Bombyx mori: one gene and its partner. The protein of the gene in region 1 purifies or fractionates together with the protein of each later gene. This does not show direct contact. Links are inferred from orthologs where the notes say so. Each region holds a gene or a part of one and is shown on either strand. Other genes may lie near its edges.

What was found.
Region 2: the proteins of cyclin-H (region 1) and general transcription and DNA repair factor IIH helicase subunit XPD purify together in Homo sapiens (affinity purification with mass spectrometry; 3 studies listed by BioGRID and IntAct, counting the BioPlex papers as one, with this or other methods). This does not show direct contact. The link is inferred for Bombyx mori from reciprocal best matches to the Homo sapiens genes CCNH and ERCC2.

What each region holds. Positions count from the first base shown.
Region 1 is NC_085113.1:12,695,753-12,699,509, forward strand, and holds the start of cyclin-H, read right to left. Parts: upstream 2,253-3,757; 5' UTR 1,800-2,252; coding exon 822-1,799; 3' UTR 1-821. UniProt on the Homo sapiens protein: Regulates CDK7, the catalytic subunit of the CDK-activating kinase (CAK) enzymatic complex. CAK activates the cyclin-associated kinases CDK1, CDK2, CDK4 and CDK6 by threonine phosphorylation.
Region 2 is NC_085127.1:13,513,991-13,517,647, forward strand, and holds part of general transcription and DNA repair factor IIH helicase subunit XPD, read left to right. Parts: intron 1-711; coding exon 712-810; intron 811-2,449; coding exon 2,450-2,537; intron 2,538-2,619; coding exon 2,620-2,711; intron 2,712-3,657. UniProt on the Homo sapiens protein: ATP-dependent 5'-3' DNA helicase. Component of the general transcription and DNA repair factor IIH (TFIIH) core complex, not absolutely essential for minimal transcription in vitro.

The DNA of each region.
Region 1 (3,757 bases):
AATTAGAGTTGGTTCAAATATTATTTACGTCAGTTAATTATTGATTTTGTTTACATTCTGGCCAATCACAATCTGGTGGCTGGTTAACATAATGGACATTGGCTTGACAGCGCATCAAAACGCAACTGCTGAGAGAGGATTTGATTATTGTAAAGTCAAGGGAGACTCTACAGATTATAAAATAATATTAGTGGCAGTCTTGTGAGTCCGTATAGGTATGTGCAACTGTGCCTATTTGCGCTGTGAAGCAGTAAGGGTGGGGCATCTGTTGTACTGTTAAAACGGAGACCTTAGAGCTCGTCTCAAGGTGGGTAGCAACATTTACATTGTAGATGTCTATGGGCTCCAGTAACCATATAGCACCAAGTGGGTTGAAGCTTATCCACCCATCTAAGCAATAAATATAAACTAACCACATCCATTTTCTTTAACTAAGGTCATAAGTATTTGTTTTTTAGTGTGTGTAGAAAAAGCTTTTGAGACCTGCAGTTTGCAATAGATCAGAACAGATTTAATACAAGATAATGGTAAGTACAACCATAAGTCCTAGGCTAAACTTCAAATATACTTAAGGTGACTACATAGTATATTGCTTTCATGACACCGAACTTACAAGTTCTACCATAGTTCATCCCGTTCTAGCACACATTACAGAAATACAGGATTCTTTTGTTGCAAAAACAGCATACATAAAATATCATGAAAGGTGTACTTAGTTATTTTAAATCCTACTTAAGAATTACTTTATTTAAATTTACAGTCAATAATCTTATCTACATTTTTATTTTAATTAATATTAGGTCAACTTTTATTTCTTTTATTTAAGAGGCAGAAGGTGATAGAACTTGTGTAACTCCACTTGTATCTAAAGACATTCTACTGGATCCTACATGTAAAACATCGTCTTCGTCTAGCAGCTCTCTCATCCGACGCTTGTAAATCTCACTGTCAGGGTTATTTTCTTGGTTCCGACATTTGTCTAATTTCTTCTCTATAAGCCGTACTCGTTCTCTAGCTGGTGCCTCTACCATTTTTACTAATGATCGAATCTTTCTTACAGCTTCAATAAGTATCGCCAATTTATCACGTCCCGCATCTCTGAAGAGTATGTCTGTCACGTAGCTATCCAAGTTCTCTTGTTCCTTGCTCGCTGCATGGAGTACTGCAGCTAAAGCAATTTGTGACGGAGCATACAACAAGCATGCATCAGTTAAGAACACCTTTTCTAGGAACTCATCAATACCACTACGAAGACGTTCAGGATTAGCCAATGAACATCTAGTTTTAATGTCTATTAGGAATCCTTCTACTGGTCTGAAAGGATTATGTATGGTCAAATGGTAGTTTAATTGTTGCATTAGCAATAATTCATTGTTTAGTATTATATCTGATGCTTTTTCTCGATCTCCTTTGATATTGGCGACGAATTGCCCGATAGAAACGTTAAATTCTTCAACTTTACACGCTAAATACACGCAAGTGGCTAAAATTTCTTTTGGATGATAGTCCATTGTCGAGTTGTATAGATAAAATCGTTTAAAGTAATGAAAGGCTGTGCCCACCACCCCTTTGGGCATTGGAGGTGTGAATCTCTTGCAGAATTCTTTCAGATGGAGTTCGTATTGCTTTAAAAGTTGTCGTTCTTCATCAGGAGACAAGAAATACGTGAAACGTTGTTGCTCGTCGATGTGCGAGTTCTGTCTCGCGTAAAAAAAATAATTGTGTTTTTCACGTAAGCGTGCGAGTTCATTTTCATCACTGAACGTCCAAAATTTTCTTTGAGAGCTGGTAGAAAACATATTTTACTTGGAAACTAAAAGCGGATTGTAAAATCTTCAAATTCAGAAATTTGCGACTATCGTTAAAAGTTTGACATTTAAGGTGACATAAGCTATTGACATTTTTAATTTTGAGCTTTTGTTTCTTGTTGGCCGCCTCCGGTAAATTGTTATTCCAAATAAGCGAGGCGCATCCCATATTACCTTTGCCAGTTTGTGGTTACCGAACCCTGAAATAAGTCTAGCCCTATATGATTAATCTATTTTAATTTTTAGCATTTTAGGTTAGACATATTTCACTTATAAAGGTTTCTGAATACATTCCGGACTAAATATAGGATACTAGATAAACGACTTCGACACAATTTTTCAAACTATCTAATACCAACGTCTGCAAGAAGCAATAACCATTTCATACCAAATAAACTAGATGCAAAAAGTTCCTTTGCAAGTCTAGGTGGCCAAAAAGTACTGACTCTGGTTTTTTCGATAAATAATTAATCTATGTTATAATTTTACTGGAGCTGAGATTGCATGGAATAAACGGAGAACAAATCTTTTGATAGCATCGATTTTGAAACTGAAGTAGATTGTCGTTCCTCGTGTTTTATTTATCATTTAAATAAATATTTAGTCTTCAAACCAATAATGCTACAGATGTTGGCCCAGATTTTTTTTTGGCTCAGGGTGTAGTTCATTACACAGACTAGGGTTCTTGGCTCTATCTCTACAAGAACAGTGAATTACATGAGCACTACTTCTAGATTGGTGCGCCGACGCAATAGTGGCATAAACAAGCATTTTCATATTTACTGCTTCCAGCTTCCTCTTCCGTACGTTAATTGCTCAAAGGTCCACTGCAACAAGCCGATTGTGTACCCAGCCAGTTAATCCTGCTGCCTCTAACTATCGCCGTCAAATATATGTTACCTACTTTATACAGCATTAGGAAGCCCTTGGGTGTCCACTTCGATAAAGCGGCACGACACGAGAACCCTCTCATCGTGGCCGCCAGTAACTACATTCCCGATCCTGCGGACAGAATGGGAAGCAGTCGACGTCGCCCAAAACACGTCATCTCGGATCCTCCCGATCCACTAACGGTGCTTTTAGGTACTTCAAGCACCGGTCACCGTTCTCGTCGAACCCGTCGCTCGCGACGAAGGGCTCGACGAGTAAATTAACTCTCAGACACAGCCCACTGAGTTTCTCGCCGGATCTTCTCAGTGGGTCGCGTTTCCGATCCGGTGGTAGATTCTGCGAAGCACGGCTCTTGCTAGGGTTCGTGTTAGCATCGTCATCAGGTTTGAGCCCCGTGAGCTCACCTACTAGCCACGGTTACGCTGAAATAGCCCCTAATCAGCTTAGGTAGGAAAAAAAAAACTGCTTTAGTTTACTTAATCTAGTTCTACATAAACGATATCATATTTTCGAACTTTTGAACCACGCAAACAACAAAATATGTTGATTTCACTGCGATGTTTTAAATACATAGCAATAAATAAAAGAAAACCTAAAAATAAACAATTCAAAACTATCGTTATCTAAACTAAACTATAGTTTGAATCATTGTAGAAAGCAATACCGTACAATGGGGTAAATAAGGACAAAATCGACCTTCAGATTGAATTTTAAAATAGTTCCAATTAAATAGTCACTGCTCAACCAAAGAAATAAGTTGAGTCTTGAACGTACCTAGGTGATAAAAACCGTTTCATTATTTTAATTATTCATTTTAAAGAAATAATCGGTAAAATAATGGCCGTCCCAATTTACCCAGCGTCCGGGGTAAATTGACACGGTTAAGGGTTGAATTGGGATATTTGTAAGGGTTGTCAACTCGCAGTACTGCGATATATAGGTAGGTGCCATATAATTATTTATATGGACCGAAATGATGAATACAATCCATAATTTAAGCACAATACACAACATAGTGTAAATTAAGCTGGTTTCTATTCCGAAGCGATGTGACGTGA
Region 2 (3,657 bases), on another chromosome or scaffold:
CGGCGGTACGAAACCCGAAACGCGTTAGTGCATTTTTATGCGAGTTAATATACATTAATTAGATGGCGTTGCTGGGTTTATTTACTTGTCTTCATCACATTTAAATCATCAATCATCTTATTAGGTACATATTTTTACCTATCTTCTGTTTCATTCTAAACATTGAGATTGTACATGCACCATACAAAATATTTTTCACATGTTTAATAAAGCACAATCTGGTACCAGTAACAGACTACTACACATCACCAGCTAGTACCGCCCTTCAATAACAGATGGCGTTAGCATGCCTTAATTAGACGCCTTCAGCTCTAACACTAGGAGCAGACTGAGGGACCCCGGTAACCGTATTCGTCGAACTCGACAAAGAGTTCGCCGTGCAACCTAACCCATGCATCAGCCCGTCGAGTTTCTCGCCGGATCTTCTCAGCGGGTCGCGATTCCGATCCGGTAGTAGATTCATTAGCAAAGCAGCTGCTCTTGAGTTGTTAGGTCTCCTTCGGAGGCGCTCGGGCAGCTGTTAGCAAATCCTACCTCTCCTGGCTGAGCCCTTGCTCGCCCACCTGTCCTGGTGAAACCGAAAAGAGCCCGGAGGAATTTCCAGTAATCCTTTGTTCATAAAAAAATGGCGTTAGCTGTAGGTTCATACAAATATCCATGCACGTTTGCGTCCCTCTGTACCTAATAATTGTTTTTTGTTATATCTTTCAGATAGTATCGAAGGGCAGCGATCAGGTGGCCATATCGTCCAAGTACGAGACGAGAGAGGACGTCGCCGTCATAAGGAACTACGGGCAGCTGCTGGTCGAGGTACCGTTCTCGTACTGCGCCGCCGCTTATAGTCATATGGATCTTGCACATGTCCACGAAAGACTCCTGCGATATGGCGACCATGTCACTTTTTTATTGCTTAGATGTGTGGGCGAACTTAAAGCCCACTGGTATTAAGAGCCCATAGACATCTGCAACGTAAATGCTGCCACTCACCTTGAGATATGAGTTCTAAGGTCTCAGTTTTTACAGTACAAACGCACCCCGCTGAAATGAGTTCTTTATATAATTATCGTCTCAGTTTGATTGTTACTCACTTAACAACGGATGGTCACAATTACAATGCCTATAGACAGTTTCGTCTAAACATAGACGCTCGCGTACCTGTCTTTGATATTAAATTTAACCACTTCTCATCGTCTTGAGAACAATCAAAACAATAAACCTCAATCTTACCGTTGTCTTCACCTACAACAATGCCGTCCTTATAAAACGGCACACAATATCTGAATATTATTATCTGTATATTTATAGGTGAAGCAAAAACTTTGTACCCCTTTTTATGAAAATTTTGCGGAGTAGTATGAAATATCTCACACTCATAGAGAATATTGTTACGCGCTGGGGTTCGGGATAAATAAAAATTCTACGGTAGTACAAATTAGCACTTAAATCACTTTAAAATTTTCAATTTACTTCTTTCGCTTCGCTTCAGCTGATCCGTTCGCTGTTTCGCTTCGAGTAGATTCGATTAACAAACTGATCCATGTCATCACTGCCGGCGATACGACATCCCTAGAATTATTGAAAACATCCCTCACAAGTCAGGTATTTTCAATATGCGTTTCTGCTGTCTGACAACAGATGGCGTTGCACTTCTCGATCGTTCTACATTTTACTGGTTCTTTTGATATTCGTTTCTGCTGTTCGACGATAGATGGCGTTACTCTTACCGGCGTAACAATATAGAGGAGCGCACTTTTTTTTATTGCTTAGATGGGTGGATGAGCTCACAGCCCACCTGGCGTTAAGTTTAATATTATTTATCTATAGTGTAGTGTACAACTGGGAAACCATTAGTACTGTTACGCCGGTAAGAGTAACGCCATCTATCGCCGAATAGTCGAACGAATATCGAAGGATCTAGTAACATCTAGAACGCTCGAGAAGTACAACGTCATCTATTGCCAGATAACGGAAATACACAATACTAGACTTTTGTGAAATATTCTCGACGATTCTCGGGATTTCGGCTCGACTATAAAAGCGTTGCAGAGATGCCTTCAGACACAGTCCACTGAGTTTCTCGCCTGATCTTCTCAGTGGGTTACAATTCCGATTCGGCTCGCTAGCTAGGGCTCATGTTAGAAATGTTGTCAGGTTTGAGCCCCGTGAGCTCACCTACTAGTTAAGGCTACGCTGATATAGCCTCTCAAGGCTCTCAGCTTAGGTAGGAAAAAAAAACACGCAGTCAGTAATCGGAACAGCGAAAGGATCACCAGAAGCGAAGCGGAAGAAGCGAATTGAGAGTTTTAAAGCGTTTGTTAAGTGTTTTAAGTGTTCTAAGTGCTAATATAGTGTTAACTTGTAATTCGGTAGAATTTTATTTATCCCGAATCCCAGCGCGTAACGGTACTTATAAATGAGTGTTAGTAAATATATGTTCTCTCATCTACAGATGTCGGCGTGCGTGCCTGACGGCGTGGTGTGCTTCTTCACGTCGTACCTGTATCTGGAGAGCGTCGTGGGGGCCTGGTACGACCAGGGTGAGCGGAAACTCGGCCACATAAACACGATGCAGCGTGATGTCCGCGGGCCCCTCTCGTAACAAATGTAACGCGTGTGCAGGTGTAGTCGCGAGTCTGCAGCGACACAAGCTGCTGTTCATCGAGACGCAAGACTCCGCCGAGACGAGCTTCGCCCTCATCAACTACATCAAGGCAAGTGGCGCCGCCGCCCCACCAGCGGGACCCTTACATATAGAGCATCACTAGTTACTGTCAGAAATTTTAAGGATGATTAATTATACTCGTGAAGCAGTAATGCGTTCCGGTGTGAAGGGGGGGGGGGGGGGGCGTTTAACTATACTGAGACCTTAGAACTCATATCTCAAGGAGGGTTGCGCATTTACGTTGTAGATGTCTATGGGCTCCAGTAACCACTTAACACCAGGTGGGCTGTGACTTCGTCCACCCATCTAAGCAATAAAAAGGATTGTGTGTTTTATGAAACCACGCTAAAAGTGAAACTTTTTTTTTCACATTATAGACATTTAACTCTGACAAACACCATTTACATTAAACACTGACAAAAACAAACAATAGCGTGGATCACTGGCACAAATGAGTAATAGTCTATACACTACACGGTCAGCTGCTGCGAACTATAGGCGCCGCCATATTGGCCTTGGCTGCTCTGACGAGCGCCTTTCACTTTATCCCTACTCCGCGGCCGACCGTCACGCGACATGCAACACACAGACGGAAAAGTTTGAGACGATGTAATAAAAGTTTCACTTTAAAATCTAACTTTACACCAGTGTGCTTAGTGCGAGTTTTTAACGTTCTCGATAGCGTAAAAGTTAACTCGAATTTGTATGGAGTTGGAACGTTTGCGTACGTTTGCCGCTAGAGGCGCTGTTCCAACTGCATACTAAATTGGGTTAACTTTTACGCTATGTTAAAAAACTCGCACTAACCACACTGAGCCAAATATGTATTTATAACAGACTTCGTAGTGCCTCCATCGATAAATCTATATATATAAAAATGAATTGCTGTTCGTTAGTCTCGCTAAAACTCAAGAACGGCTGGACCGATTTTAGCTTTTGATCTTCAATTATTTGTGGAAGTCCAGAGAAGGCTTAAAACATAGATAAATATGAAA